Rhinolophus ferrumequinum: one gene and its partners. The protein of the gene in region 3 purifies or fractionates together with the protein of the main gene of each other region. This does not show direct contact. Links are inferred from orthologs where the notes say so. Each region holds a gene or a part of one and is shown on either strand. Other genes may lie near its edges.

Region 1 (7,185 bases), on a different chromosome or scaffold from region 3:
GGGAGATCTGTTCCTCGAAGGTTAACTGGCTGTAGGCAAAGGGAAGAAACTGTTAGAAGTCAGGTGTGTTGGTAAAGGAGTCAGAGTACTGAAGGCTCTACCCAACAAACATTCTGAATCCAGGGATTTCATAGTTCTCCACAGTACCATTCCTCCCGGCTCACTTGCCATTTATTCAAAGGATTCTGGAGGCCAAATGGGATGGGATTCTTTAGGTTATCAACCAAGAGTCTTTAGGTCTTCTCTTAGCCAAGGCATCCAGTGAAAACGTAATTTATTTTTCAGAGTCCTCTGGAGGATTAAAAAGTTTCCTTCGCATCATGTTGCCATGCTCCCTGCTCTTGGTCCTCTTTTCCATGTACTCATTCTTCAAGCATTTTCTCATCTCCCGATCAAGATCATTGCAATGACCAAAAAATTTCAGAATGCTGTGCCGACTTGATGTCACACCGAGAGGGCTGAAGCAGTATTTACCAGCGAAGATTCTTCACACGAAGGTCGACTGCCTGGGCGCCAGGGTCGAGCCACCTCCGGGTGGCAAAAGCTCCTGCACCCTCTACAGCTGACCCTGCTCCTGTGAGGGGATTTTTTAAAATTTATTTTTTATTTTACTTTCAAGCCGAGGTTGGTTAAGTTCGTGCATCCAAAACCTGGATATGGAGGGCTGACTATATTTGTTAAATTTCCAGATTCCCTGGAAATTTCTTCTGTTATTCATTTCTAGTTTCATTCCATTGTAATAGAAAAAGATACTTTGTATGACTTCAGTCTTTTAACATTTATTGAGATTTGTTTTATGGCGTAATATATACGGTCTCCAGTTCCTTAACTTTACTGATGAACATGAACCTCAGAGGTGAAATGACTTGTGGAAGGTACAAGCAAATAAATGGGTACTTATTTAGTTATAGAATTAGAATTAAGATTGATTCTCAGTCTTTTACCATTGAAATTTGATGTTTGTTTAAAGTGTGCAGGGGCTTAATTTGGAATGCAATAAGGAGCCACCCAGTCTCCTTTGTTGGCTCGTTTGCTTTCACTTATCTCTTTTATTTTTATTTTTTTAAATTTTTATTGGGGAATATTGTGTTTCTCCAGAGCCCATCAGCTCCAAGTCGTTGTCCTTCAATCTTAGTTGCAGGGGGCGCAGCCCACCATCCCATGTGGGAATTGAACCAGCAACCTTGTTGTTGAAAGCTTGCACTCTGAGACATCTGGCCGCCCCTCCGGAAGCTCAGCAGCAGCTCGTTGTCTTCAATCTAGTTGTGGACGATGCAGCTCACTGGCCCACGTGGGAATCGAACTGGCAACCCTGTTGTTCAGAGCTCGCGCTCTAACCAACTGAACCATCCGGCTGCCCTTCACTTATCTCTTAAAAGTAGGTATTCTCCAAGGTTTTGTGCTTGGTTCTCTTCTACCTCCATACACTCTCTACCTGCTTCCATGGTAGCTTCCCTTCAGTTTGGAATGCCTGTCCCCTTTTCCACTTCCATGCTGGTTACTTCTACCAGGTGATCTTTGAGAATCTTAGAACCAACATATGCTAAAAGGAACTGTGACTTCTCTTTATTCTATCAGCACATTTTTCTAGCATTCCTTTTTTGTTGTTGTTAATGGGACTACCACTCATTATTCCAGTGACTCAGGGTGGGAGAATGAAAAGTCAGTTTTATTTGTTTTTCCTCTCACAAGATCTCCACATCTGATCAGCTACAAACTCTTATGATTTCTCTTTGTAGTACTATTCCTATTTGTTCTTCCCTTCCTATTTTCTCTGCTACCATCTCTTACCTTCTGCCTGGATTAGTGTAATAGCCTAAAAATCTATCCTCTTCTTTAGTCACTACTCTACCATACTTAGTAATCCTTCTAATATATATGATGTTAGATAAACGATGTTGGTGTCATCCTCCATGCAAGTCATCAAAAAATAGCTTCCTTGTGCCCCCTGAATAAAGTGCAAACGTCTTAGCTTGCCATTCAAGGCTCATCATAATTTGGTTCCAACCTCCTTTTAATTCCACATTTATTGCAGACCCTATCACACAGCTTATGTCCTAGTTACCTGAGCTTACAACAGTTATTGTATTGAGTACAAGCTGCTGGAATCCATTGGGAAGCAAAACAGACCAGGTCCTTTCTCATTCCTGCCTCCTCAATCTCAATTTGATCTTGGTCCCACTCTTCTGCACCTTGCACTCCAGATTAAGTTCCTCTATTAACCTCCCCGTTCCTATCCATGGTGGGCCTAAGGGGAAGAAGAAGGCTAAAGCGCAGGGGAAGAAAAAGATTGCCAAGTGATAGGGTAAAGTTGGTGTGAAAACTGGAGTATTTCTTTCCCTACCAACTGTAACTCTTTACGCCGGAGTTAAAAGGATCTGGAAAAGGTCCAGGACTGAGCTTGTCTGAGAAAACAGGGACAATGTAGGAGAGAGGTTGGTTTCAGTGAGGTAAGCCTGCCATTAAAAAACTGTTACATGGGTTCAAAGAGGATTTTATGAATTTGACTTCAAAGGCAAGGGAAGTAAAATCTGAAATAAATGAATTGGGACCATATCAGACTAAAAAGTATATGCACAGCAAAAGAAACCGACAAAATAAAGAGACAACCAATCGAATGGGAGAAGATTTTTGCAAACAATGCTTCCAATAAGGGGTTAATATCCAAAATATATAAAGAACTCATACAACTCAACACCAAAAAAATAAACAATCTAATTAAAAAATAGGCAGAGAACCTGAATAAACATTTTTCCAAAGAGGACATACAAATGGCCAATAGACATATGAAAAAATGCTCAACATCAGTAATCATCAGAGAAACGCAAATAAAAACCACAATGAGATATCGTCTCACACCAGTTAGAATGGCCATCATCAACAAGACAGATAATAACAAGTATTGGAGAGGCTGTGGAGAAGAAGGAACCCTCATATACTGTTGGCGGGAATGCAGACTGGTGCAGCCATTATGGAAGGCACTGTGGAGGCTCCTCAAAAAATTAAGAATACCGTGTTTCCCTGAAAATAAGACCTAGCCAGACCATCAGCTCTAATGCATCTTTTGGAGCAAAAATTAATATAAGACCCGGTATTATATTATATACAATATAATATATTATATTATATACAATTACTATATTATATTATAGTAAAATAAGACTGGGTCTTATATTAATTTTTGCTCCAAAAGATGCATTTAGAGCTGAGGTTCCAGCTAGGTCTTATTTTCGGGGAAACACGGTAGAATTACCATATGACCCAGCAATCCCTCTCCTGGGTATCTACCCCAAAAATCTGAAAACATTTGTCCATAAAGATATATGTGCTCCGTTGTTCACTGCAGCTTTATGTACGGTGGCCAAGACATGGAAACAACCAAAGTGTCTTTCGATAGATGATTGGATAAGGAAGATGTGGTATATATACACAATGGAATACTATTCTGCCATAAAATGAAATAGTGCCACTTGCGACAACATGGATGGATCTTGAGATTATGCTAAGCGAAATAAGTCAGACAGCAAAAGTCGAGAACAATATTCCATTGATATGTGATATATAAAAGTGAAAACAGCAAAGGAACAAGACAAACAAATGAAGAAACAAAAACTCATAGACACAGACAATAGTTTAGTGGTTACCAAAGCGTAAAGGGGGATTGGTAGATGAGGGTAAAAGGGATCAAATATATGGTGATGGAAAGAGAACTGACTCTGTGTAGTGAACACACAATGTGATATATAGGTGATGTATTACAGAATTGTGCACCTGAAACGTATGTAACTTTACTAACAATTATCACCCCAACAAATTTTAATTAAAAAATAAATTAAAAGAATGAAAAAAACAAACCATTACAGACTCTAGTTTTCTCTGTCCCAAATCCAGGTGTCGGTTCTCATGGTCCAGGTTCCCTCGCTCACTCTCTTTGGGCGCGGTCCGGTCGTGCCTCGCCTCCAGCATCTCTCGCTGCCTTGGGGCCGCTCTCCCTGCGCTCAGTCGCAGTTCCCGCCTCAGCGATCCCGCACACGCTGAGCCCAAGGAGGAGGGGCATCTAAGCTGGGTCCAGCCCCTTCGGGCGCTGGGCTCTGGGCTCCCGGGCCCGCCCCCCGCGCCAGTTGCCAGGGAGCGGTTGCCATAGAGCTGAGCAGTTGTCCGCGTGCGCAGGCGGAAGTCCCGGATTGAGGCGCCGCCATTTTTGCTGCCCGGACGCGGAGGGAGAGGCTGAGAGAGTCGGAGACGCTATCCGCTTCCATCCGTCGCGCAGACCCTGCCGGAGCCGCTGCCGCTATGGATGATCGGGAGGATCTGGTGTACCAGGCGAAGCTGGCCGAGCAGGCTGAGCGATACGACGGTGAGTTGGGGGGGCAACGGGGGGCTGGAATTCTCGGACCCTCTGCCGCCGCCCACAGAGGCCGGGAGCAGGAGACAAAATGGCGGCACCGTCGCCGATCCTGGCCCGGGGACGTGGATTCGGGAAGCAGGAAATGGCCTGCGGTCTCCCGGAGCGGTGGGAGGCCCCAGGCCCAGGAATTTGACCCCTTCGGTGTCCTTCGCCGCAGACACTTGCGAGCCTAGAGGCCCAGGCGATAGGGTGGAGGAGTTGGTTGTAAAATGGCGGCTAGGGGGAGGGCGAGTCCCGGGGCGGGGGAGGGGGAAGAGATGGCGGGTGCTGTCTCCGGGCGAGCAATCCCCAGGGGAGCTTCTGGCCAGTCTTGGGATGTGGAGAACAATTGGGTGGGGTAGTGGGGGAAGAAACACCCGCCACATGGGGGACAGTGGCGACCAGGGGCTGTAGCGCGGGCGCCTTTCAGGGAAATATGGCGGGTGGGGGCGGTGGCTTTTCCCCGGAGGCCCAATGTGGGGCGGCGGCTGTGGAGTCTCACAAAGGAGAAACCTTAGGAGCGGAGGTCTTCTTGGGGCTTGTGGTCGGAGGCAGTCTTGAATGAGAGTGGGGGAAGGGGAGAGGGTGGGAATCACTGCAGTTCATCCTTGGGCGGAGGCCAGCTGAGATGCTGCGATCAGATTTCTTTCCCGTAGGCCAGCACACCTTGTAGTGAGGGTTTTTTAGGCTTCACATTCAGCCTCGCTTTCTTCTGGGGAAATCGAGCAAAACCTCCCTCACGCTCCCTCCCTTTCCTCAGACTTATCCCGGAGACCTCGAAGTTCCTGTAATTTTTTTTTTTTTGTCTATTAGCTGTGGGTTGTGGTGTATAGAACATTGAACTGGGAACAAGGAGACCATAACTCTTAGTCCCTTTCTAGTGCCTGTCTGTCTCTGTCTCCAAGTTTGTTAAAATGACTTTGCTGTTGACACACACCATTATGACAAATGGAAAAAGACCTGTTGAAAAATAAAGTTATTTCAAATAACGTTTAGTAACTGCATTTTGGTTGAGCGCCCGGGCTTGGAATGCGTGTTCTTACCTCATGGAGGATCTTAACCTATCACAAGCACCCAGCTGAGGCTTGGGGTTTTGGATTATGAACATCGAGGGGCCCAGCAGATCCTATGTATATTTTTTTCCATTTTGAATAAATGGTTTTGTGTACAGATTTGAACAGTTTTTCTTTGTTCACTGATCCTTCGTCCCTGAAGGTTCTTTCGTCATTTTTCTGAACTTTATCAAAATGCCCATTGTGTCTGTTTAGTCCATTCCAGGCGGCTGTTTTTGAGTCGCCCTCCCCACCCCCCATTTTGCACTAGGTACTTGAATGACCTCCACATGCGTTAAAATGTACAGAAAAACAAAAAGTTACATATGGTTTCTGTGGTTCTAATGCAGTTGTGGGATGAGACATTGAAATCAAGTGCCATTGATCTTTAGATTTTTCTTAATTAAGCCACTTACTTTTCAAAATATTATGTAGGGTCCTTGCTTTCCTTGAATGCCTGTTGGTCACGTGCATACCCTCAGGGCTAATCCTAGCGTAGGGTTAGGATTCACGAGTTTGAAATGAGGAAAAAAGGCCTGGAACTGAAATTTTGGAAAGATACTGCACTAAATTTCGTTCTGTAAATCCTAAAATTGCTGTTGGTACTGAACAAGATTCTTGTTGAGAGGGGGAAGGGAATAAGATGGGGAAGTACAGCTCAAGGTCAGATTTGTCTTTATTTCACTGTGTAAAAAAGGCAAGTGTAGGTGTGCTTGTAATGGAACTCTCCATCCCCATGCTGCAGATGGGTTCCCCTCTCCATCTACCCGTGCCCTTGGCAAAAAACTTCATATTTGAATGCTTTCTGTTCTGTAGGGATTTAGGCTCTGAGTAAACTTGCTGTGATAACCAAAAAGAGGACATGGAGGAAGGTTCTAAAAACTGATTTGGAAGCTCATGATTGTAGTTTCCAAATAAATGACTGTTTAGTGATAATCATATAATACTTTGGAGTTGAGTACTGAGGATTTTTGACCAAATGTCTTACTGGGTGTTCAATGTAGGACTCTATAGATAGAGCTTCATCGTTACATTGTACAGTTTTTGGATCTCCAGGATCTAAAGGGAGGAATAGATAGGGTTTACCAGATGGGGAGGAACTCCTGTGACTGTTGGGCACAAGATAGGGAGGGATTCATTGGGAAGGAAGCAGAGGAAGAGAGTCATCGGGAATCAGATTTTTACCTGTGTCCACTCCTTTATTGGGTGCAAAAATTCATTGTTTGTGGTGACAAAAAATTATCCCATAGTTTTGGCCACCAGAAAAATTTTCAAGTGTGGGGAGTGGAGGAGGTGAGAATGCATTTGAATGATTTGATTTTGGGTACGTGGATATAAATAAAATAAAATTTCTCGTTCCTGCAGTACCTTTATCTGTAATTTTGCATGCTGTGTTGAACCAATACTTAACACTTTTTTGTAGCGTCATTTAACTCTATCCTGGGGACTTGGAGTCGATTTATATGGTTTATTTAATGGTACTGGAGGAAAAGCTAAGCTGTGTTCAGAAAAAGGACAATTTTGGGTTGCAGGTAGGAAATACCTGAAGTTTGGGGCTAGGATTGTTCACCTTGAAGGTTAATCTAGCATCCCATCACTTAATGTCAGTCTTAGCATTCCTGAACTAAGTCTTACTGTCTGATTTATATGAACCACATTAGTACAGAAAAGTGGGGAATATAGCAGGGGGAAAAGAGTACTTTTCACATTTTTTGAGAGTAGAGAGGTCTGCATAAACTACGTTTG
Region 2 (7,496 bases), on a different chromosome or scaffold from region 3:
GGGGCCATGGCTTCACTCCTAGGCCTATGGCCCCAGCTCCAGGTCAGCTCCTGGTCCGGCCTCTGTGGGGAGGAAGGAGGGTAGGAGTCAAAGTCCAGGACCCCCATGGCAGCTGGAGGGAAGCAGGGGCAAGGCCTGTGGAAAGGAGGAGACAATGAGGGGTGGTCACAGGTACACGAAAGACAGACAGGCCCAGACAAGTTGGGGAGACCCTGAGGATGCAAGGAAGAGAGCAGTTGGACAGGAAGGCCAGCATCCTGAAGGCTCCACACCCAGGCATGCAAACATTCATTCATTTTATTCCCCAAATAATTATTTAGTACCCTCTATGTGCCAATCAGTGCCAGGCCCAGCAAACTCAGCAGAGAACAAAGTGGACAAATATCCCTGCTTTCATGGAGTTTATATGCTAATCAGAAAACAAAAAAACAAGATAAAGAAGTACAATATAGTGCTGAATGATAAGGGCTTTGCGGAAAAATAAGGCGACGGAGAGAGATCAGGATGGTAGAGATATAGAAGAAACAGATATGCAAAGACAGAGAAAAACACAACATACATCTCCAGATGGAGAGAAAGTAACAAGGGGGAGAGACTTGGACACAAAGAAAAGGATAAGGTCCAAGAGCCAGAGAAACATTGAGAGGAGGAGACAAACAGCTTCAATGAAATGAAACCGAGGATGATGAAAGATACTCAGAGAGGAGAGTATGCGTTTAGGGGCTTCTGAGGGTCAGAAAGAAAAGGGAGAAAAAGAGCAAATAGGAGAGGCAGGAGATAGGAGATGTAGACATCAGTAAAGACTAAGAAAGGAATGTGACATGGAGGGACTAAGGGGTCAGAGAGCCAGAGGAGTCACATGCAAGCACCTGCAAGGGACAGGGGCCAAGAGCTGGACCCTAAGGACTGACCTGGACATCTGGCTGAAAGCTCTCCAGGGAGAGAGGATGGGAGCCAGGCCTGAGATCCCCTCCCCAAAGGCCCTCCCCCTGCCCTCTGTCCTTCTTCAGCCTCCTCCCTGCTCACCTTTGTTCCGCACTGCCCCGCCCACCGAGCCACCTATCTGTCCTGCCCTACCTTTCCCTGGCCCAGATTTGCCCCAGACACACCCCCCTCCCCCAACCTTGGACTCACCCTTAGGCCCCACCCCTTATCTCAAATCAGGCTTAGGCACAGAGCCCAGATCTTCCCCCAGTCCTGGGCCTGCGTCTCTGTCTCTAGGTCTCCAGGTCTCTGGCCTGCTCTCCATTCTCACCACCCACAAGGTACCCTAGAGCTGGGCCTGTGTCTCCATCCATAGGTCGCCCCCATAAGCCTGAGTCTTTGTCTCCGGTTTCCCCGGTACCAGGTCTCCACTACCCCCCACCCCCATACACGCCCCGATTTCCACAACCCAATCCCAGACCTGAGTTTCCATTCCTGGATCCCTCAGTCCCGGTTCTGGTTCTCCATCTCCATCCCACACCCCTGTTACCCCAGTCCCGGGCCTGCGTCTCTCCGTTCCTCTCGGTCCCAGGGTTCCCCAGACTCGGGACCCTTCCCAGCCCCCGCACCCTCCTCACACGCCGGGTCCTCCTCCAGGCGGCCCCTCAAATCAGCACCAACCACCCCGATCTGACCCTAGGGTGTGGGGGGAGTGTGCATCTGCTGAGCCAATGGCCGCGTGGCTGGCCTGAGCCGCACCAATGAGGGCGCGCGGGGGTCGGGTCCAGCCGACTCGCTAGTTTGGCGCAAGGGCCTGCCTACCGCCAGAGAGCCGAAGAACTGGGCGGGGCATCGCGCTCGCGAGATCAGCTGCCATTGTAGGTGAGGGCACAAGCGCAGCAGAAGGGGCATCACGGCCCAACGGCCAGCTACTGTATCGCCATCTTTGTTGAGGGCAAGGGCCAGTCCCATCCATTGGGTTTATTAAAAAGGGGCATGAAGGCGGTCTTCAGCTGCAGACCCAGAGAAGCAGAGTCAGAGTCAATAAGAGACTCGAAAACAGTATTGTCTCTTTTTCAGATAGAGTGAGAGAGAGAGAGATGCAGAGAAAAGCGAAGATATACACAAACACAGACAGTAGAATTAAGAATGTGCAAGATAAGGACTCGAAAACCCAGAAAACGACGGACACAGACAGAGATAGGAACAGATAATTCTGGAATGAAAACCAGAGAGAAGAAGCTCATTAATTCACAAATTATTAATAAGCCATAGGTATATGATGTACAGCATGGGGACTATAATCAATAATATTGTATTAACTTTGTATGATGACAGATGGTAATTAGACTTGTGATCATTTTGTAATGTATATAAATATCAAATCATTTTGTTGTATACCTGAAATTAATATAATATTGCATGTCAATTTTTTTAAAATGTTAAACTTTTACCTTGGGCCCAAACCAGAGCGGAGGAAACCAGAGCGGAGGTAGCATGACGAAAACATCTGCTTAGGGAATGACTCAGTTACAGAGCAAGACAGAGACACAAGGAGAAAGACCGGAAAGACAGTATCTGAGAGAGACCTCTAGGTCAGGGGTTGGGAGTGGGGGGTAGAGAATACTGGAGGCCCAGAGGCTAAGAGGAACTGAGACCAAGAGACGGAAAGCAAAGATGTTGAGAGGTAATGACATGGTGAAACAGAAAGAAATAAAGGCAAGAATAGTATCAGGAGACCTAGAAGCAGACAGAATTGTAGAAAGAAACTCACATGCTTAAGGAGATAGGGACGAGTTTGCTGGAAAGATAAATGGAGGAAGAAGTTAATTTATTGCCAAACAATGTACCTTGTGTTCAACCCAGAGTAGCAACAGCACCAGATATGTGCCAAAGAAAGACCCAGAGAGAGAGAGAGGGACAGAAACCCAGTAAGAGGAAGAGACAGGCAAACACAGCACCTGAGCTTGGGGCCCTGGGAGAAAGAAAAGCAGGCATACCAATCAAAGAGGCTGGGACTCAGAAATAGAGACCAAGTCACACAGACGAGGGAACAGGGACAAGGAAGAGGAGGAAACTGTGTCCCATGGTACTGTAATCTTGATTTTCAGATGGACCCTTACCTGGTCCCACTGCTCCTGTGTTTCAAGGTATCCATTCATCTGCTGGCCCTCTGCTGTGTTCACATCAGCAAGACCCTGGCCCTGGGTCAGAAGCCATGGGAGGTTGGTATGGGTAAGGAGTTAGGCCTCACAGTTCAGGCCTGGCCTTTGTATCTGTGGAGGAGAGGTGAATAAGTACAAGTGTCAAGAGTAGACTACAGGAGGCCAGGCTGGATACACATGCCCCTTGGAGGCCCAAGGAGGCAGGGGAAGAAGAGAGAAGAGGTCAGCTTTGTCACTGCCCCACCCAGTTCATCTTGTCTCATCCACTAAGGGCCAATAAAGAGGGATAAAGCCTAATTTTACTAAGCACTTATTATGTGCATTGTCCTAAGCATTTTTACTAACTTATATAATGCTGAAAAACACCCTATGTGCCAGGTCTATTGCCATCCCTTCTGTAGCTAAGGGAAGTGAGGCACAGAGGTTAAATGACTTGCCCAAGGTCACATTATTATTAAGTAGCACAGCCAGGATTTGAATTTGGTTACAGATGGCATCGACATCTTTCTATTCTCTGCTCCTCCCTGATCTCCATCTTCCCCCTCTTCCTAGGTCTCCTCACTCCCTGGGTCTCCATTCCCCCTACCCTAGGTCTTGTCCACCCCCGCTCTGGGTCTCCATTCCTCCTCCCCTCTGAATTTCTGTCTCCCTCTCTTTAAGTCTTTCCTCCCCTTTCTTTCAGAGTTTTTACCCATCCCCTCTCTCAACTCCACCTCCCAATCCCGGGACCTCAGCGTGCCTCCTCCTTGCTCCAGTACCGTGCACATCCTTCACAACAAACACGCTGGGCCACTTGAATCTCTCTGCTGGAAAAAGCAGCCCCCAGGTGACAGAGGCTGAGAAGGGGTCAAGAATGGGCCATCTGGGGGCAGAAGGAGAAGCGGAATCTAAAAGGTGGAAATAGACTGCTATAGACTTGGCTGCAGCAAGAAGATTTCAGGTTATAGTAGGACTTCCCGAGCCGCGGCTGCGCCTGGAAAGCGCAGCACGAGATAAGGCAGAGGTCAGCCTAATATAAGGAAATCCCCTAGGCGTGCGGTCAGAGGTTTTCTGGAAGTCCGGGCTAGCCCTGCCTACCCCGCCTCCTCACCTCCAATACTCGGCCCGCCCGGTCCTCCGGAAGCCACAGAGAGGCCGTCGGCTTCGGGCCAGAGCGTCACCACGTGATGACTCGTCCTAACTCCGCGCGACATCTCCCTCACGCCCATATCCCTTCCTTCCGGAAGAGTATCGAGAACAGGGACTGAGTAGGGCCAGAGAGGCCCCCAATGTGCTGGTCCTTCCCTCCTTGACGTAGCCCCTTTTCTTCTTTGGTGGTTCCCCCCGACCCCCGCCTCACCCTATTCCGGAAACGCCCGTCTAGCCGGCCACCTAATTCACCATAGAGAGGGCCGACTCGCGGTAGAGTGGTACGTCGCGCATATGTGACGTCATGTGGGCGCCGCTTGCTGAAGGCTTTCCCCGCCCACAGCGGCTCCGTTCTCTCTTTCCGGACCTGTGGAGCAGGAGGCGCCATCATGGTGAGCGCGCTTTGAGGCGTTCGGAACTCTACTATCCGCCGCCATCCGCCGCGGTCTCGCGCTGGGGGCGCGCCACAGGGAGGCAGGGATTCCGGGGGTGTATGAAGGAGGCGATTCTTGCGGTGGGGGTGCAGTTTAACGGGGCCTGAAGACCAGGGATTGGTCAGTCGTATCTATCTCCAGTTCCTCCCGTGTTCCTCCGTTGTAGCTCCCATTGAATAGATCCTCAAATTGAGGTACGAGGTGGTTAAATGATACGACCAGGAAGAAAATGTCAAGAACTGGCGGAGCCAAGATTCAGACCCAGGCGCTGGTTCCACAGCCACTCTTATCTGTTGCCTTGGATGCCTCTTCCTGGACGTTTCACTCCCCACCCTGAAAAGTTGGGCTCTGGTGGGGAGTTGGCGAGCGTCCAGTGCCCGGGTTTTGGGGCGAGGTAGGCCTCGTGCGAGTGTCGGCTCGCAAAACCATCCTGTGGTTTTGCTTTCCCAACCCATGCCCCACTTTCTCCGTCTGTTCACTGGGGACAGTAATTCTGTCTCACAGATTTGATTTTGGAAAGAATTAAGTTGTAGGAAGTGCTCACCATAGGTTCTTGCAAACATGCAGTATTGGTTAAGTGGGAGCAATTGATAATTAAGTTGTTCTTTACAATTTATAACATAGTCCAAAAAGAAAATCCTCAGGAAAGTAAGCAGGTGGTGTAGTAGAAATGGTGGGCTTTCCAGAGTTTTCTTAGCGCTAAAGTCATAAACTATCTCATAATGTTTTTGGTTTCAGGGAAACCAAATGACAGATCGTTCTAAAATTGGTTCTGTACAGATCAATTTCTAAATAAAGGTTTGATATTACTTGGCATTTGCCCTTGTTTTTGATTCCCTCCATGTGTGGGAGCAAGTATTGGGAACTTAAATACTTAATTGTTGAAAAATACAATTTCTGGAGTTAAAATTTTTTCTTGAAATGAATGTGGCTACTGTGTTAAAGCTTTCACGGTGCTATGTGTTGTGTGCTGCAGGATTTATATTAGAGTTAGCCCCTTTTTGCAGAGCAGTCATTCGAGGCCCAGAGTATTTACGTGATTTCTAGAGCTCTCCCAGTGGTGAGCTTGGGATTTGTCTTTTTAGAGACCGGAGCTTCATCTAATATCTCCGAAAGAAGTAATAATTGAGAACAGTTATGGGTGAGGAATCTGACAGCAGACTTAACCATGGTTTTGCCTTCACCCGGCAGGGAGTCGACATCCGCCACAACAAAGACAGAAAGGTTCGGCGCAAGGAGCCCAAGAGCCAGGACATCTACCTAAGGCTGTTGGTCAAGGTGAGGTTGGGGACTGAGATGGCTGGGTAGGACCACCCTAGACTGCAACTTTCAGGGCCTCCATCCTAGCGTTGGTCACTGGCTCCTCGCAGGGGCTTGCAGGACAGGCTCTCATCTCTGATTCTGCCCCAGAGCATCTGGAAGTTCAGTGTTTTCAGCCCCTGGTCTGTGTACAGCGAGGGGGTGGGGAGGGAATTTTCTGGGTCCCTGACAAGGAAGAACCTGGGCCAGCTCTCTCCCTGGAGCTCAGTGGGAGACAGACAAAATCATATGTTTGCCCATTCCTTAGAAAGTTGGGGGGGAGGGGGAAGTAGGAGGCCCCAGGTTCTCATTCCTCCTGTTCCTTTCATATCCAGCTATATAGGTTTCTGGCCAGACGAACCAACTCCACCTTCAACCAGGTGGTATTGAAGAGATTGTTCATGAGTCGCACCAACCGGCCACCGTTGTCCCTTTCTCGGATGGTGAGGGGCTCTTGGGGGGAGCATAGCCAACCTGGGGGTGACTGGGTCACATGGAGCTGGGCTCTGGGAGGAAGGGTGGGCTTGGAGCTCTGACCCTCAGATTGTAGCTTAATAGCCCACTGGTTATTCAACTGGCTTGGCCTCTTGGTCTTGTTCTTTTTCTTTGTGAGGTGGGGGTGGTTACAATGGCTTTATGAGTTTTTCCTGAGGCTTCAAGTCATACAACAAGATCTTACGTGTCAAGATCCCTCTATAGGAGAGGTCTGTTGAAAAATCTGTGCTTGCATTTTCTCTGGAGATTTTACTGGGCTGAACCTGTGGTTAGGCCAGTGCTAGTTTGAGAGACATGGCGTGGATGGGTTTAGCTCCATCAGGGCACAACTGTTGGTCTTTGGGATGCTTGAAGCAGTGGAGTTGGATTTAAACACCAGAAAGGAGTCCTTAATGTGCATTTCTCCTCTTCCCCCAAAGATCCGTAAGATGAAGCTTCCTGGTCGGGAGGGCAAAACTGCTGTGGTTGTAGGCACTATAACCGATGATGTGCGTATCCAGGAGGTCCCCAAACTGAAGGTGAGTGGCGAGGGGCTCTGCACAGTGGGTATGTCGAAAGCATGGGCTCAGGGTGGAGTCCTGCAGACGTGGCTCATCCTCGTCTGCTGTGGGGCCCTCAGGCTCGTGCTGTATCCTCAGTCTCACCTCTGGGTGAGGCAGGCATCACACCTACCAGGTGGCTTTGGGGACTGAAGGGGACTTATCATTGGCATCATTGATGGTGGTGTCCCTGAGCAAGCCCCTCTGGAGCCCTGTTGACAGTGCTGGCTCTTGAACTTGCCTGCAGCCTGGGTTCAAATCTAAATTTCTCTGCTACTTTTTTCTCACCTCTGGACAAAGTCCTGGATCTCTTTTACGTCTCAGTTTCTTTACATGTAATAGCTGTAGCTTCTAAAAGTGGTAAAAACAGTTGATGTCAGCTCTGGAAGCTTCTTTTAATAGTTGGTGGTATTGGTTATTGGGCTGAGCAAGTAGCTGGGCTTCTCTGCTGGGCCAGGGCAGTGGACAGTAAGTCCCAGCAGCTCGTGGATGGCTATGCAGGGGGCTCTTAC
Region 3 (7,841 bases):
TTTCAAATTTTTTGAAATAAAATGCATTTCTTTAATTTTATCTCCTTTCCCTCAAGAACTACAGGATATTAGTACAAATAAGGCTGCAGATATAAATGCAGAATGGCAGTAAATGCACAATAAGTTATCATAAGTAGTCCCAAATTAATGAATGTGCAGATATAAACAATATATACATGCAGCACCCTATTTACTGAAGACCAAGATTATTCAAATAGGCACCAAAAAAAAAAAGAAAAAGCTAATATGGTTTTCCAAATGATAACATACTAACCCACCCCCTCACCCTATTCCTAAGCCTTCTCACAAAGAGCAGACAGACTAGACAACTGTTGTATCACACACTGTTTGTTATATTACAGCTCCCCGGCCTCTTCTGTGCCACCTAGCCTTACTTGCTCTTGTCTGGGGATACCTTGGGAACCACTACAAATATGTATCTTATTCTGTTTGCTCCCACTTTTTATTCCAAATATAGGCCATAACAAATGGGACAGATAAGGAGACTCACACCAAAATGTATCCTCTGGCTCCATGCCCACCACACTCTGCCAAACAATTTGGACAACCTAGAACAGTAGTTCTCAAAATGTGGTCCATTATGGTTCCTACGGCTTTTGTGGGGGGGGGGGGTGGGGAGGGAAGCGGTGTCAAAGTCAAAATTTTTATCAAAATAATACTACAATGCTAATTACCATTTCCACTCTTGCTCTTGCACAAGTTTATAGTCTTCCAGATGTGTGATCACAGTACACTGAATACAGAAGCAGAGATAGGAATCCAGATGCCTTCTACTAATCCATATAATTAAGGAGATTTGCAAAAGTCTGAAACAATACCACTCTTCTAACTACTTTTGGTTTTTATTTTGAAAAAGTTATTTTTCATAAAAAAATGCTATTTGTGTTACCAAGTAATGGGCTAATTATTTCTATTTTAAATGAATTAATGTTTAAACTTCTCAGTTTTCATTTCTATGATAGTAAATATTGACATACCCCATATTGGGATCTTCAGTAATTTTTAAGAGTGTAAAGGGGTCCTTACAAACCAAAAAGTTTGCTAGCCTAGGAGATCCTGTGGACAGATATTGGATTAGAGCTTAGTTGTATATACATGTGTGAACTCTGAGGCAGACACACCATCTGGTCTATGTGTTATCCAGTGGTAGTTTCTGAAAAAAATCCTTGAATTGAATTTTAAAAATCAAGTAACATTTAAGTCCACTACAGACAACTGGGTTCCCAGGTAGTCTCACTGAAGATGAAATGCCAGAAGGAGCTTCCTCACCCAAAACTACAAAAGCTACAACCCAACGTTTAGGTAAGGAAAAACAAATTCACTTTTATTTGTCATAGAACTGAATCATCATCTCATCTACCATCTTTAAGCAAGCAGTTCTGATACCATATTTGATGTCTATAGTCTGTTACATGATCAAGTCAGCATTTTGGACATTAGTCACGTAAGAGTGACATCACTCATACGGTTGATTCTGATGATTTATGAACAGATATTTTTGCCTTTGTAATTTCTTTGTAAATGATTTTCCATTACAAATGCAACATGTATACTGTGTAAAAAATTATAAAATACCTTTATAATCATAAAATACCTTAAAATTATAAAATACCTTAGCCTCTGGTTTTCATAGATATCAAGATTTAAGAAAGCCAGCTAGCTATTTCAAGCAGTTGGCTGGCAGATTGCTACAATTAACTCCTCTTGTAAATAAGTGACAAGAAATTGTGTGAGTGCTGTTTAAGAGAACTGTAATAACTCTTGGGATGGATGTCAAATTTGTTAGGATCAGGGTCATACAGAAGAGATTACCCTGGAAAAAGAAAGGACAAGAACAAGCAAATTAAACTTCAAGTATGATTTTGGCTATTACTGTCTACACTCAAAAAGCAAGAGAAAAGCCTACTCAACTAGCAAGAGAAAAGCCCCTGCTTCTGCTCTGCGGGTTTTCTGCGTGTGTTTGAACTTGACAAAGCAAAGGAGACCTCCTGGGATTCACTTTTTTCTTTTCACTAAGTCACAGGCTTTATGTTGTAGGGTGTTGGCCACCTGTTCTTCCATCTCTACCTCCACCTCCTCCTTTGTGGCCACAGCAATGTCACAGCCCATACATGGGGGAGGGGAGCAGTCAGTAACTCGGCTGCAGATGCATTTTTTCCCCCAAACACAATAACCTCAAACAGTGGTCCCGAAGCACCTGCCTATACTCTTCCAAAACGTGACCTCCCCCCTTACTCATTTATCCCCCTACACACTGAAAAGGACCACTATCCGTCCCGTCTGCGCTCGAGGGAGAAGTTTATTCCTTGGTCCTAGAGATGCTAGATGCAGCAGGGAAGGCAGCAGCCGAGGCAAGCCGAGTGCTGGAAAGGGAGGAAGAGGTGCGGGAGCGAAGGGAGAGAGGGAGGTGGGGGGGGAGAAAAAGAAAAAGAAAGAGAGAGACAAGGGGGAAGGGAGACTGGAGCGCAACGGGAGTAACCTCCACCGCACCCGACCGCCCGGAGGGGCAGCCCGCCCGGCCGGCGAGTTTCTCCCCGGCCGCCTCCAGTCGCAGCTCTAGGGGAGGAGGAAGGAAGGGGTTCCCCGTCCAGGAAGCAGCACAAGCGGCGGCCGCCTCTAGCCTCACCCTCCTCAGCCCCGCACCGCCTATTCCCCATTGCCCGCGTCGCCGTGTCCCCACGCCTCTCGCTGCAGACCACCCCCACAGCGTCCGCCAGCTCGCTCTCCCCGGCTCCACGCCCGCGCCCCCTTCCCGCCCCTCCCGGGACCCCTAATTCATTCACTCGCCGCCGGCCCCGCCCGGCGCGGGCGAGAAGGGTCGGGACCAGGGCAGGGGCCCAAGAGGGGTGGTCTGCTCCGTACCTCTCTCCCGCACCTGGGAGCCGCCAAGCCTCTGGCCCCCGCCGCCGCCTTCAGTGCCTGCACCGCGCTCGCTCCCCGTCCGAAATGGCGGGGGCCGAGAGTACTGGCCGAGTAGCCGCCACCGCCGCCACCGCCGCCGCTACCGCCGCCGCTGTGCCTCCGCTGCCGCGGCCGCCGCCTAGGGAAATCGAGCTCCGAGCACACCGATGAGTTCGGGGCCGGGCGGCCGCAGAGGGCAGAGCTATCGACGCGCTCGGTGCTCGATTCCTCTCCAGACGGGTGTGCGGGGAGGGAGCGGCGGAGGGCGGTAAGGGAAGAGGGAAGAGAGGGCCGACGAGCGCCGCCGGGGTGGAGGAGGGGGCCGGGCCTTTCCGGGGGAGGGGGACAGGCCAGCGGAGGAGGAGCGAGGGCCGACTGAAGAAAGCCGTGGCTAGAGTGGCGGAGGGAGAGGGAGCCGGACAGGTGGAGCTGGAGGGTCTGGGCGGCGCCTCGGCGGGGGCCATTGCTGGACCCAAGCGGCCGCCCGCCCCTCGGTTCTAGCAGCGGAGCGGAACCCGCAGCCGCAGATTCGGAACCGGACGGACCCTCGGTGGGCCACACACACACACACGCGCACACACACACACACACACACACACACACACACACACGCACACACGCACACACCCCCCCCCCCCGGAGAGACAACCATAAGCGACTTTGCCGCACCCCTCTCGGTTCTACACAGAGAAGCTGCGAAAATCCCGCCACCCCTCGGGGTCGGCCTACAGTTGTGACTTTCATTTACTATAATTTATTCCATGTAAATAAACATGCAGTCACCAAATGTGGGAGGGGGAGACGTGGCAGGCAGTGCTCCACCCTGGGGCTTCCGGATCAAGGTTGATTATTACCAGCCTCGACGGTCGAGGGGGGGGAACCTAGCCCCAGGCCCAAACAAACCTGACAGACCCTTTCGTCTTTAATCTTATGTGGGAAGGGGTCTGTTGTTTTGGGTGGTTGTTTCTAATGGATATTTTGAAACGGTCACAGGTGACTCTGAACAGGGACCTCAAATGTATTCATTGCCCCTGATGGCACCAGCAGAACCCAAGTTAATAAGTACAAATGCCCTTGATAGTTTAGACCTGAGGAAAATCATTCAAACATTAATTAGAAGATTGAGATTAACCAGTTAACATTCAGAGAGTGAACACATCAAACAATGAGAATTAAATCTAGTATAGCCAGAGTCTGCGTGGATACGCTACCTAGAAAGGTAAATTGTCCACACGAATACAACAATTATTTTAAATCCCAACTATTGTATCTGTTAACCTAGGCCTTTCACCAACTGTCACCCTTTCTTCCTGCCCCATATGTGGGCTGTAATCTGCAGGATTTGTTCCTGTTGCCCTGGCCCTGTTGTAGCAATTGGTAGCAGGTACAAGAGAGGAAGTGGAACACCGTGGAACACACGTCCACTATAAATCCACAACACTTCCTCTGACTGCTACTTATAAATCTTTCTTCAGATGTCTTCTAATGAGTTTTTTTCCCCATAAAAGATCATCTATGATACAGCATCTCTCCATCCTTCCCCCCAAATCCTATCTCTCTTCCAGCTTTATTTTTCCCCTAGAGCACTTACCACTTTCTAAGGTAGTGCATAACTCATTTGTTTTCTTGTCTCTCTCCCACCAGAATACAAGATCCCTGAGGGCAAGGATTTTTGTCTGTTTTACTTACTGATATATTTCCAGTGCCTACAACACAATAGGCACTCAATAAATATTTGTGGAATGTTGAATGAATTGAAGTTATGTATACTCCTTCTGAACTCTGACTCTTAAGTGTTTTACTCTCTCTGTAATCTGTTTGCACCAAAATCTGCCTTTAAACTCACCCAAGTCACCTTCTGATAAGACACACCCTATGAAGTCCAGGAAAGAATCTGCGCATAATGGACACAATGAGTTTTTGTTAAATGAGTGCATTTGCACTTCTTTGGATGTTGCTTTGTAGTCACTCTTAAATATGAATCACAGATTTATTTTTGTCCAACTTCAAGTACACAATAAACTCTTGTTTTCTCTGACAGCTGCTAATACAACGTTCTCCCTGTAGTTGGTGCTCCATAAATCTTAAAAGGACTAATATAGAGGAGGGAAAAGCTGTATATTGCACTTTTATGGTGATTATAAAAATTCTGGCATTAGTAGAAACCTAATCCATCCACATGCTCTCAGTTATCATCTAGGCTCATGATCCCCAAAGCAAATCTACACCCCACTATCGGTTCCGTGGACCCTACACTCCAGCTTCACCTCACATACTTCATCTCTCCTTCCTTTCACTCCTACAGCAATGTGTAAACATATGCTCTGTCAAGCCTTTCCACCATTCAGTCCTGGGTGCTTTCACAGAAGCCAGCAACCCCCTCCCCAACACTCTTTCTGTCCTTTACCCAGAGCTTAGAGCAGTGGGTCTCAAAGGTTAACTGCTTCATGAAACACCTGGCATACTTTAAAAATGCAAGTTCCTAGGCCTCTCACCCAGATATCCCATTCAGTTGGTCTAAGGTTCAGTTGAACCAGAAATTTTCATTTGTAACAAATCAGGTGATCCTAAATTGGTGGTTAGCAGTCTGTACATTGAGAAACTCTGATCTAGATACTCAAATTCTTCTCTTCTCTTGGAGAATGCACTTTCTACTATTTTTGGGGGTTGCTCCTCAAGCCTGGTGGCTGCAATGAATAGTCTCCCTGACTCTCCCTTTCTTTGCTCTCCCCAAGGACAAAGACACAGGCCCATACTGTAATCATGATGGGAAAAGAGAGAGAGGAATAACAAAAGTGTAAACCTGGAGATGCCAGGCTTGCTCTGAATTTTCTGCCTTATACTATTGTATTCTGGGGAGGCAGCCACATACACATGTGCACATGCATGTATCCTCTTGATCTTGCTTTATGAAGATCATGCTGACCCTTTTCTTCATGAGATACCTTCTTCTGAAGGTATAATTAAAGCAAGACAACAAAAATATCCTTGTGTTAGTTGGGCTCTTACCAGATATAAAAAGGCAGGACATGTTCAGAGCACTGCAAATGCTGAGGGATTATGTTAAGGAAATAAGGAAACTTCAGAAAGTCATAACAGAACTACTGCTCATTCTAAGAATTAACTGCAGTTCTTGTGATCCAGCGACAGTCTTGGGTACCTTGCTCATCCCCTCACTGACAGGCAGCTATTGACCATATTCTAGTAATTTTGCCATTCTCCTGAATCATATCTTTCTGCTTCTTTCTCATATCACTCTCAGCTTCTACTGCTGTCTCTGCTTCTAGAGGCCACTTCCTGTGACTTACATTTAAAACATCCCAAGAAAGAGGATCTGAATGCAATCTGTCATTCACTGTTCAATAAGAAAGGCCTTTATGGAATACAGTTTTCCTGATGGGCCACCTGATTGGTGGCTAGTCTTCTTTATGCCTGGTTTAGAGATCATTGACTTTGCTTGGGTGCCAATCCTGGGTCCAGACATTGGTGGCCAGAGTAGCAGGACACAGTCAGGGAAAGTTAAGCAGGACAAGCCACCTTTGGATGCTTTCATGGACTATATGTCAGTTTTCTCGGGTAGAAAATTTGTACTGGGTTTCCCCTAAAATGAGATCTAGCTGGACCATCAGCTCTAATGTGTCTTTTGGAGCAAAAATTAATGTAAGACCCGGTCTTATACTATATTATATAAGACTCGGTCGTATATAATATAGTATAATATAAGACCAGGTCTTATACTATATTAAAATAAGATCGGGTCTTATATTAATTTCTGTTCCAAAAGATGCATTAGAGCTGATGGTATGGCTAGGTCTTATTTTCGGGGAAACACAGTACCACTGAATAGGTGCTATCTAATTTGCTTACCTAGCACATAATCTCCTCTGGACACTTATTTCATTAGACTTTGTATTCCTTTCTTGTATATCTGTTTTCTCCAGCAGGTTGTTGATTCCTCAGAGTCCCTGCCCAATTTGTATCCCATAGCTATTAGCCTCTACAAATATTTGTTGAAGTGAATAAAATCACAACAAAGCTTCAACCCTGTCTCCACATAGCCACTTCATTCTCATCTAGCCAATTTCCTAGACCATGTCTAAATGAATATCTTGTCATTATCTTAAATGCCTGTTCAAAACGAAATTCCTCTTCTAATTCCCCCAAACTAATACCCTCTCCAAAGTTTTCCATCTTGTCTGAGTGGCATCATGGTCCTTTAAAACTTTATATTCAAAAATTGAATTTTCAACCCACTCTGCACTCCAATTTGTTACAGCTCCCTTTAATTAAATTCCTAAGCAATTTCTCCTATCTGCCTCTTCTACATTCTTTCCTTCACACCTACATTTCTGGAACAGCTTCCTCATGACTTTCCTACCTCCTGTCTTTCTTCTTTTCAATTCAGGCCATATGCTGCTGCCAAATTAATCTTCCTTACACATGTCTTTCATCATCATCAAACATTTCCTCTTTTCCTACTCCATATGAGTCTGAGACTGCACTCAAACAGATTATATATTTTAAAAGTGCAAAGAGTTACAAGCTAAGTGTCTAATTAGTACCTAAAGACGATGATAATTACTCTAGAAATTAGAGTGAGGAATGATCACCGGTCCCAGTTAAGCCTTCACCAAGAGTGAATCTTGCTTACAAATCTTTAATAACTCTTTATATCCAACTGAATCATGGCCAAATTCTTGGTGCCTAGCTTTGGAGAGCATCCACTCTCTGGCACCCTCCTGCCCTGTGACTTCCACCTTTCCAAAGCTGATGCTCTCTTCTCCTCAAGCAAATCCCTTCTCTATGCCACAAAACTAGGATATTGTGTCTTTGCTCCTTTTTCACCCAACATCTTTTTGCCTCTCTCTTTGCTTAAAATTCTCTTTCAAGATCTAGAACAAGTCCTACTTCCTTTAGAA

What was found. Proteins that work in one complex are often made in the same cells at the same time.
Region 1: the proteins of KRAS (region 3) and YWHAE purify together in Homo sapiens (affinity purification with mass spectrometry; 4 studies listed by BioGRID and IntAct, with this or other methods). This does not show direct contact. The link is inferred for Rhinolophus ferrumequinum from reciprocal best matches to the Homo sapiens genes KRAS and YWHAE.
Region 2: the proteins of KRAS (region 3) and RPL18 purify together in Homo sapiens (affinity purification with mass spectrometry; 3 studies listed by BioGRID and IntAct, with this or other methods). This does not show direct contact. The link is inferred for Rhinolophus ferrumequinum from reciprocal best matches to the Homo sapiens genes KRAS and RPL18.

Annotation. Positions count from the first base shown.
Region 1 is NC_046304.1:16,474,247-16,481,431, forward strand, and holds the start of YWHAE (14-3-3 protein epsilon), read left to right. Parts: upstream 1-4,169; 5' UTR 4,170-4,293; coding exon 4,294-4,357; intron 4,358-7,185. UniProt on the Homo sapiens protein: Adapter protein implicated in the regulation of a large spectrum of both general and specialized signaling pathways. Binds to a large number of partners, usually by recognition of a phosphoserine or phosphothreonine motif.
Region 2 is NC_046298.1:44,113,979-44,121,474, reverse strand, and holds the start of RPL18 (60S ribosomal protein L18), read left to right. Parts: upstream 1-4,480; 5' UTR 4,481-4,606; coding exon 4,607-4,609; intron 4,610-5,842; coding exon 5,843-5,929; intron 5,930-6,285; coding exon 6,286-6,393; intron 6,394-6,864; coding exon 6,865-6,963; intron 6,964-7,496. Other genes in the region: SPHK2 (sphingosine kinase 2), read right to left, coding at 1-135, 3,048-3,082.
Region 3 is NC_046293.1:36,538,633-36,546,473, forward strand, and holds the start of KRAS (GTPase KRas), read right to left. Parts: upstream 3,016-7,841; 5' UTR 2,884-3,015; intron 1-2,883. UniProt on the Homo sapiens protein: Ras proteins bind GDP/GTP and possess intrinsic GTPase activity. Plays an important role in the regulation of cell proliferation.